2 linked regions of the Drosophila melanogaster genome follow. The protein of the gene in region 1 purifies or fractionates together with the protein of each later gene. This does not show direct contact. Each region holds a gene or a part of one and is shown in the gene's direction. Other genes may lie near its edges.

What was found.
Region 2: the proteins of wdn (region 1) and Tim10 purify together in Drosophila melanogaster (affinity purification with mass spectrometry, with the first as the bait; one large-scale study listed by BioGRID). This does not show direct contact.

Annotation. Positions count from the first base shown.
Region 1 is NT_033777.3:28,807,212-28,813,302, reverse strand, and holds wdn (wings down), read left to right. Parts: upstream 1-1,965; 5' UTR 1,966-2,217; coding exon 2,218-3,233; intron 3,234-3,293; coding exon 3,294-4,498; intron 4,499-4,609; coding exon 4,610-4,998; 3' UTR 4,999-5,320; downstream 5,321-6,091. Other genes in the region: Prp39 (pre-mRNA processing factor 39), read right to left, coding at 1-598, 817-908, 1,149-1,188; CheB98a (chemosensory protein A 98a), read right to left, coding at 5,870-6,046. UniProt on the Drosophila melanogaster protein: May belong to a complex set of multifingered proteins which play an important role in gene activation or regulation at early embryonic stages through a maximal accumulation of their transcripts (or protein product) in the mature oocyte.
Region 2 is NT_033778.4:21,689,405-21,692,769, reverse strand, and holds Tim10 (translocase of inner membrane 10), read left to right. Parts: upstream 1-1,630; 5' UTR 1,631-1,660; coding exon of another isoform or gene 1,661-1,698; 5' UTR 1,699-1,769; coding exon of another isoform or gene 1,770-1,929; 5' UTR 1,930-1,981; coding exon 1,982-2,132; intron 2,133-2,295; coding exon 2,296-2,423; 3' UTR 2,424-2,555; downstream 2,556-3,365. Other genes in the region: Ppcdc (phosphopantothenoylcysteine decarboxylase), read right to left, coding at 78-338, 396-535, 600-774; CG42496 (uncharacterized protein), read right to left, coding at 790-1,074; CG42497 (uncharacterized protein), read left to right, coding at 1,661-1,698, 1,770-1,929; CG10307 (uncharacterized protein), read right to left, coding at 2,583-2,843, 2,902-3,365. UniProt on the Drosophila melanogaster protein: Mitochondrial intermembrane chaperone that participates in the import and insertion of multi-pass transmembrane proteins into the mitochondrial inner membrane.

The DNA of each region.
Region 1 (6,091 bases):
ATTCAGCCCGCTGCGGTGCTGGAAGCTCTTCATCGGAAACTTCCTCGGCATCATTTATTTCAGGCTTGCTGGGCAGAGGTAGCTCATCCTCGGAGACTATCTCTGTGTTGACAATGGTTGCATTGCTGGTGTCCGCATCGGCCAGATCCTCGGCAATGGCATGTTGTGAGCTGGAGTCCTCAGAGGAATTCATTTTCTCCATCTGCGGCTGCAGGGAGTCTACATTGTACTCAAAGTCCGCCTTCTTGACATTGTCACTCTCGTCATTTCCACCCACGGAGGGCAGGCTGTTGGCATTATCGCCGGCTAAAGAAGCCAGTAGGGTGTCCACGCCAGCCTGACCGCGTGTCTCTTTAATATCATCACTAGTCTCTGAATGCAGCTCCGCCACCGTGCCAAACGGGAAGGAAGAGCTCTTTTCATCAACCCCAGCAGCTTCGGCTGGCAGCATTTCCACGTCATCCTCTATCTGGTGCTGAGTCTCCTCGAATTGGGGCTCCAAAGCAGGTGCCTCCGCAGTGTTTGTCCCTCTAAAGGGCTCCTCCTCTTCCTGAACCATGACCACTTGCTCTTCGGCCTCCTCTTCGTGGTCACTTAGCTGAAAGGATTAAAAGTCGTTAATGAAGGTTCCCGGCATTTCTCAGAGCATTTGTGGATGCTGTGCCTTCAGTTGGCCCTTGCAGGTAATCACTCGCTCCTCCAGGGAGAAGAATCATGTGCGGATGGAACAACGCCACACCCACACTGGAAATTGCAATCGTTTACATCATTGGCTGATGATCTGGAAGAGGCGGTAACTACGTGGGATGAACTGACCTGTACGTTCCGCTTGGATGTGCGCCGGGTGCTTCTGGTTGGCAGCGATGCAGCCGGGGATGCGGCCTTCCGACCAGAACGTGTGCGGCGACCTGGAAAACGTCAATTAACTTTCTTGGTTAATCCATGCGGTTTACATAAACTGTACGCGCGGTGTTGTGGGTTGTTCGCTGCCTCGTGATGTTCACTTTTTTCCAAATGCTTTAATGGGCTGCTCCAGCTAACTGTCAGTGTCAGCTACCGAAATGGGCTAGTAAGGACTGAATTTTTAATCAACGGTCACTAGGTCCGGTCGAAGGAATGCACGTATTTGTAATTTTTCATCAATTTACCTGGACTTTCCATAACAACGTTTTCGCCCTCTGACGCCATATTAACATTGCAACGTGGTATCGATATACATGTCCCGCCAATATCGATATCTCTTTGTTTGGTCAAGACTGACGACTGACTCATAGCTATATTTTGAATATTTTTCAGAGGTTTTTCGAATTTCGATATTTATCATTTTTTAGCATTGATGAATGAATTATATACAATCTATCAAAAAATATAATTTAATAACGAAAATAGCCTAAGTGCTCAGTGTTTTTCCAGTTCGGCGAACTAGTTCATTTTTTGGCGTGCGCATGCAGAACCTATCTCAACATACAAATTCTAGCAGAAATTACATGTTCCAGCTAGAAATATAATTTAAATATTTTATGGTAAGAGGACTTTAAATATCACCATAAATAATTCTTAATGAAAGAAGATAAAATTTGTTTAATGTTACACATATTATAAATTAGTGGGTTATTAAGTTAACATAAAAAACATAAACAAATAACACAATCATTGGGCCTACTTCCTTTAATATTTAGGGTTTGAATGTTCAATGCATAGGATTTTAAAAGCCCAAAAAATTGTTATAGTTTCTATACAACATAATCGTGAATTATATCAAGTAAATACAAACATGTAAATGGAATTGGTAAGTAAAATGTTTCCTTGTCGGACAAGATTTCTTTTTGAGTCAAGAAATCTCTTTAAATGTTATTTAGAATGGTGAATCCAGTCGTGAATTAAATATAGCTAATAACCCGCCTGGCGAGCATCACTCTTAGCGGGACTGCCACTCGTGCGCGTCTTCTAACACTGTTCTCAAAATGGCGACTCGAGAATTGTAAGCGTGACAAAAACAACAAAGCCAAGGCGCATTTCACAATAATTAAATGTTTTTCGATCAATTGCGGCGCGTTTAATACAACGAAAGCGATCGCGATGAGTGAATTGGGGACCCAGTGACCGGGCAACGGCGACCAGTGAACGCAAAGCGTCAGCGGCGCGGCGAACAAAGACAAAATACGGCGAGCGAAAACGCCGACCGCATAACCTGTACGTGTAAGCAAGGCAAGGCGAATGGAAGGCGGCAAGGGCGAGGGCAAGAGAATGAAAGAGGAGGCGCCAAGCAAGAAGTTGCCGCCTAAAATCTACGGCGGCGATGCGGGCACCCCCACGAAGGCGGCCCACGACGAGATACTCAGCTCTCTGCTGCGGATCAACAACTTCGACTCGATATCGAGCATCAAGGACGAGTCGCTGGACATCGATCTGTCGGCGTGCGTGACCATCAGCTCCGCCAGCCTGGTCAATGGTAACAGTCTCTCCTCCACCGACTTTTGGCGCGTTTTGGACGAGAGTGCCCAGAACAACACCGAGCTGAATCTATCCTCGGACGTCTGCCGCGATGACTTGGCTGCCACCAGCTCGTCAACCGTGCCCAGCACTCTGACCAGTGATAACCACTCCAGCTCGGAGTTTAGTGTGACTTTCCTGCGGCCCGAGCCCCCGAATGCTTTCACTAATTCCCCGTTTAAGAAGACTTCGTCCAGCGGCACCTCCACACCCGTAAAGCTATCGCCCGAGCAGCTCCACCAGCAGCATCAGCTCCAAATGCCCCAGTCTCAGCTGCTGCAACGCAAGCCAAAGCTGCCGGCGGCGACGGCGGTGCGTCTGAAGGTCTTTAAGGAGGAGCCGCCCGAGGAGAAGCATCCGCCGGAGCAAGTGGTCACCAAGGTAGAGGTGTGCGAGTCTGAGCTGCTGCCGCCATCGTTTACCATATTCCAGCAGGCCAAATCGGCTGAATCGGTGGCGGATGCGGCTAGCATGCCGCCTCCGGCTGCTTCGGAAACGAAGCCGTTGGAGGTGGACCCGGCACCTCTACACAAGTGTCTCGACTGCAACGGACTGCTGCTGGAGACGCCCGATGAGGTGGCCAAGCATGAGGCGGCCGCTCACAGGCTGAGGCTCACCTATCGTTGCAGCGAGTGCCAGCGGGAATTCGAGTTGTTGGCTGGTTTGAAGAAGCACCTAAAGACGCACCGCACCGAGGGCCGCAAGGACACCTGGAAGAAGTGTCCTGACTGCGGCAAGTGGTAAGTGTTACTGCAAACTAAAAATAGTTATTCCTATTGACCATTTTACTCTAACTTTAGCCTCAAATTGGGAAGCATGTGGATGCATCGGAAGATTCACAGCGATAACAAGAAGTACCAGTGCGACATCTGCGGCCAAAAGTTTGTGCAAAAAATAAACCTCACGCACCACGCACGGATTCACTCATCGGAGAAGCCGTACGAGTGTCCCGAGTGTCAGAAGCGATTCCAGGAGCGCTCACATCTGCAGCGCCACCAGAAGTACCATGCGCAAACGCGTTCCTATCGTTGCGAAAAGTGCGGCAAGATGTACAAAACGGAGCGCTGTCTCAAGGTCCACAACTTGGTGCATCTTGAGCAGCGACCATTCGCGTGCACAGTGTGCGACAAGAGCTTCATCAGCAATTCGAAGCTTAAGCAGCACTCCAACATACACACAGGAATGCGCCCGTTCAAATGCAATTATTGTCCGCGAGACTTCACCAACTTCCCCAATTGGTTGAAGCACACGAGACGCCGACACAAGGTGGACCACAAAACGGGCGAACACCTCGAGAACATTCCCTCCTACTGCTCTAAAAAGTCCACTACAAACAAGGCCCAAAAGGCAGCCGCGGCAGCAGCAGCAGCGGCGGCAGCATCTTCAGCTGTGAATCCCAACGAACTCTCCGCTTCTAGTGAACTTAAAGCCAAGGCTAATCTTACGTCTACTGCTGCACCGGCTCCTGCAAAACAAGCGCGGAAAAAGAAGCAGCCGCAGCAGGCCACTCTTGCTGCATTGGGAATAACTCTACCTGCCGGTACTGCTCTGCAGCAAGTGCATCCTGTGCCGCTGGCGCAACAGCATCAGCAGGAACTTACCACTGTGCTGGTGCCGCTGGCCCCGCCGGCTCCTAAGCAGACCAAAGCCAAGCGAGAACGAAAGCAGCTAGCACCGAAGCAACTGCAGCAAAAACCGCAGCTGCTGCAACAGGGCCAACCCCAGCAGTCCAGCTTAGAGCCCATTCCTGCTGTGCCGCAAATCAAGAAGGAGCCAGTGCAGACTCAGGGTCCGTTCCTTGACTTACACGGTCTTAGTCTGACTTCAGCCGAAGAGCTGATCATGGAGCAGGCCCTGGAGATGGAGGAGTGCGGTCTGTACGATGCTCCTAATGCAAACACTGAAATGGGGACGTCGGACAACGCCATTTCCGATTCGGCCGCTGCCCTGCACTTCCAGATAAAGAATGAATTACCGGACGAGCTGTTGCCAGACGATGACTTCTGTAAGTTTCTAATGAAAATGTCCTGTTTTATGAATTGATTTACCTAGTTATTCGTATAAAATAGTATTCCTTTTAAAAACTTTATATTAATTTAAAATTTTATATTTGTAGTGCCTTGTAAGCCCAGCGACCGACTACCTTGCCCCTCACTGGAGTCCTCGCCGTTTTCGTCACCCGCCTCCATGGAGCTGACCGCTGTCTCATGCGCCTCCAGTGTCGCCATATCGACGAATGCTCTACCAGTGCGATCTGGGAACTACTATCTACCCGCCTTTACGCTGAATGCACACGGAAAGCTTAGTAGTACGGGCAATGGTGTTCAGTCTGTGACCACGAGCTTGGCCCAGACACCCTCTGTGTCCATGGTGAATGTGCCTCTTCTGGTGAGATCCAATCAGATGCTGCCCTCAGTTGACACGCTACTCTTCACCAACCAGACAGGCGGAAGTCGATTCTTTGCGGGGAAATCGGCGACTGCGGCCACGCCGCATCTGACATGATCGGGCGGCGGAATCTGCTGCCTGCCAACATCAACGCCTCAACGATCTCCTGTGTCTTAGTTAAGTTAGCAGTGTCGACCATGTTGCACCAGCGCAATTGGGCGGTCGCGGACCGATGGCAATCGATTAAAAGAATACGGAATTGTTTCCCGTAGGTAATTAAGAGTATGACGCTACATTTGTTTAAGTAATTGACGTAAGCTGATTTCTGCATAGCCCGTAAGTGTAATTGAGTGTACATATAAACGATTATATATAGATACATAATGATAGATCTTTAATTTGTACGCTTCACACCAATAATAAATTTCGTACATATTTTAGTAAACATCCCATCATTTCTTGCAAATTGGAACCGTTCCCTTCTTTGCAAAGGGCGTAATTTAAATAGGTCGCGCTGTAATTCGATGCAAATGGGCTTAGGTTTACCATCTATCTAAGAAGATCATTCACTGTCCAAGTAGAAGAGTTTTAAAAGTAGCTGGAGAAGATGTGGGATAAGCCAGGTATAAAAGACTTAAGTTATCTGTTCCGAAGAGATACTCACAAGGGCTGAATACCTACTCAATCGCAATCACGAATTGGTTTGGGTGGCTCAAAATGGTGAGCAAAGCCTGGATTGTAAGTATTGTTAAAACGAATATGAACTCCCCGTACCGAGCACTGTATGTTTTGATTGTAGTAATTAACCTCCACGTTTCTAATATATATACGTACTCAATCTGATCGTAGTTCTAATCTAAATGAATCCTATCAGGGCAACCCCAAAAGCTTTAATACTTGAAGCCACCTTGTTGTACGTTGTTTTATTTAATTTATTAACGTTACTTCCATCAGTTGTTGAAATGTGTATGAAACCATCAGCTACACGTTAGTTCCTAATCTTAAAAACATCTCCTATTACTTCGCAACAAATGCTGGTGGGTCTCTCAGTTCCCTTAGAGTCGAACGCTCGAAATTTAATGGTGGTCTTGTAGCGTCCTTCACGAAGTGGGACGGTAACTGAGGCGGACAAACTGAGGAAATAGGTATCCAGAATGAGCTTCGTCTGAAATGAAATGGTTTGAGATCAGCTGTATATGGCGATATAGCG
Region 2 (3,365 bases), on another chromosome or scaffold:
GATTTCATAGCCAATTCCATATTATTTGTCTAACTATTGTAACAAAATATTCTGCGATATAAACTTTGTGTGCATAACTATTTAATCGGCTGAAAGGCGGATAACACCGCTTCCACAATTGTGGGTACCTCCGCCATGGCGCCGTTGCCAGTATCACCGCACATCAGAGTCTTGGATATGCAGGGTATCTCCTTGTAGCCCCAACTGGTCAGCTTGTCGATCTGCTCCCGAGTTATTGGATGGTCGTACATACGGGTATTCATCGCAGGTGCAAAGAGCAGCGGCTTCTCAAGGTCCCAGGCCCGCACCACACACATGACGATATTATCGCAAATCCCCTGTCATAAAAAAGATACTGAAATAATGTTCTGGGTAAAATGTCGACCCAAACTTACGGTGGCCATTTTGGACAGAGAGTTTGCGCTGAGTGGGGCTATTACCAACAAATCCGCCCACTTGCCTAGATCTATGTGGAGTACAGGATCTCCTCGCTTGTTCCAGGTGATCCACTCGTCGCGATTGTGGTAAATGGGTACTACAATATATGCAATAGTTTGTTAGTTAAAGTTAACAAATACCCGAAGATTTAGACAACCTACCATTTTCGGGAATCTGCTCCAGTTCAAAGAAGTGTTTGGCTGCTTCGGTAATAAGTACTTTCAGGTGGAACTTAAAGGGTAGGCGCTCGTCGGAGAGCTCTCGGATTAACTGGGCTAACTTAATGGTGGCCACACTTCCGGTGGCCGCTATCATCACATTACGTTCGGGTTTCATGGCTCACAATGCCGGCTATTGCTTCTGCACCTCCGGTTCTTTTTGATCGGTCTTGGTACTCTGGTCGTGAAAGCCCAACTTGGACCACTCGGTTTTCTCCATAAGATTGTTGTCCATGCGACAGGCCAGGTAGTTCTGGGCGTCCTGGCGGCACTGGCTCGTATCCTGGGCGTTCTTGCGCAGACAACTGGCGTAGAGGAGGAATTGCTTCTTGCAGAGACCTTCGTGGTCCAGGGGAAAGGAACCCTTCTCGGGCGGCGTGGGCACGAACTTCTTCTGGCTGTAGATCTGCGAAGTCATTTGTGAGTTGCTCTGCTCGCTCCTTATCTTAATTCATTGATAAAATATGACTTAAAATTACGAAATAATTGTGTAAACAGCAAGTCAGTGTGACCAGAGAATGTTGGGAACCACAAGTTGAAAAACATTCGGAGTTACAAAGGTCACTTTCAAATCTTATATGAACTTAAATATTGAGAATCTTATAAGATAAAAAAATGAATAAGGTTTCAAGTATGAAATTCAAAATCTTAAATATGCTAAAGCAATAAATACTCACAATGTTGCTAACATATTTATCACTGATACTGATAATTAACATGTAGCATTTAAAATTTGCAATTTTTAAATTATATTAAAGCCATTGACAAACATATAAAGTAATTTGGCTGATTAAGTGATAAATAAGTACAGTTCCAGAAAACAAATCAACCTAGCAATACAGATTCACTCTGATTCCGAACCAACTCAAATCACAGTTTCCCAATACAGTGACTTCGATTGAAAGGAATAACCCTATGTGACAGCTGTCACACGTGCCAGTGATAAAAAATCCCGCACACCTTCCAACGGAACGCGTTAGTGTGTCGTTTTTTCGTAGCAGGCTATGTCGTTGGGCAACGCAGGGCGAATCGCTGTCTGTTGGTTTGTAGAAAAATCGTTTTTAGTTACACACACTTAGCTTTACTACATGGTGTTTGAAAATCCCGAAACAGGACTGTTTTGACCGTGGGTGGCGTCTACGCATTTGTGCTGTCAAAGAGATCCGTTGAGAACCGGCGTTACGAGAGCATGCGAGTGCGTGAGCGCATGAGGAAGGCAAACCAAGGGGATTACGACTCAAGCGCAGCATCGGACAGGCGATTCGATTACTAAGCGGCAGCATCCAGTACCTAAAACCCATCAGTAACACACCCACACCCACACAATGGCATTGCCCCAGATCAGCACCGCAGACCAGGCCAAGCTGCAGCTGATGCAGGAAATGGAGATCGAAATGATGTCCGATTTATATAACCGCATGACGAACGCTTGCCACAAAAAGTGCATTCCGCCGCGCTACTCCGAGTCGGAGTTGGGTGAGTACCATAGCCATATAGAATGCTGTATCTAGTTCGCAGCTCTTTCTATGACAATCACTTCAGGTTTCTCTTTGATTCGATTGATGAAATTTAAATAGAAATCTTGAAACTTGTACCACAATTCTACACTTGTAATTTTAATGCTTTCCGCACCCTACAGGCAAAGGCGAGATGGTGTGCATCGATCGCTGTGTGGCCAAATATCTGGACATTCACGAGAAGATCGGCAAGAAGCTGACGGCCATGTCCATGCAGGACGAGGAGCTGATGAAGAAGATGTCTAGTTAACCTGGCACCCATTAACCCACATTTCCGCTTAACCAATGTGCATTTTTGAAGCGCTACGATTGTTAGAGGTACATGTACAAAACACCCCGTTGTAGAGAATAAACCACAGATTTATGTGTGCTACATAATATCAGACCTCGTTGACACAGATTAATGCATTCAAAAGGTGGTGACAAAGCGCGACATTTCCGGCAGCATGACACTCAGATCCTCGATGTTGTTCTCCAGCGCACTCTCGTCCGTTGTGTCCAGTTCGCTGGTCCGCACGCTGTTCGCCCAGTCGGAGGAGTCTAGATCCTGTCCTGCTCCTCGCGCCTGATCCTCCTGCTGTTCCTGGGCGTTGAGGCTAGCTCGACTGGCGAGACCATCGCAAATATTGGCGGGATCTGACGGCAGCTCCACATAAAGGTTCGTCTGGCGCTGTAAAATTCAGAGAAATTCAACAAAAAGAAACACAAAGGTTAATTTGGAGCTTCACCAAAGCCATTAGCTGTAGATCGCGGTGCAGGCTGATGGGATTCTTGGACAGGTTGAGCATGTGAAGAGTCCGCAACTCCTCCAGTTGTGACCGCGTGGGCATCTCGTCAATACAATTTTCGTTGAGAAAAGCAAACCGCAGCTTCTGCATGGCCATCAGCATCCTGGGCAGCCGTCGCAATCGATTCCCCTTAAGATTCAGATGCACCAAATTTCCCAGCAACGCCATGGTCAGTGGCACTTCGCTGAGTTCGCAGCCCTCGGCTGTTAGCCAACGCAGGGAGGACAGAGCGCCTATGGCATCGGGCAACTTCTTCAAGGGATTTCCCCGTACGCCCAGCGTCTCGAGGTGTTCACAGTTACGAATTTCGTTGGGCAGCTCCAGGAGCCCAGTATTATTGCACCAGAACGTCTCCAGCTGAGTGAGGTATCCCAGTTCGGGTGGCAAACTACTAATGTTATTGC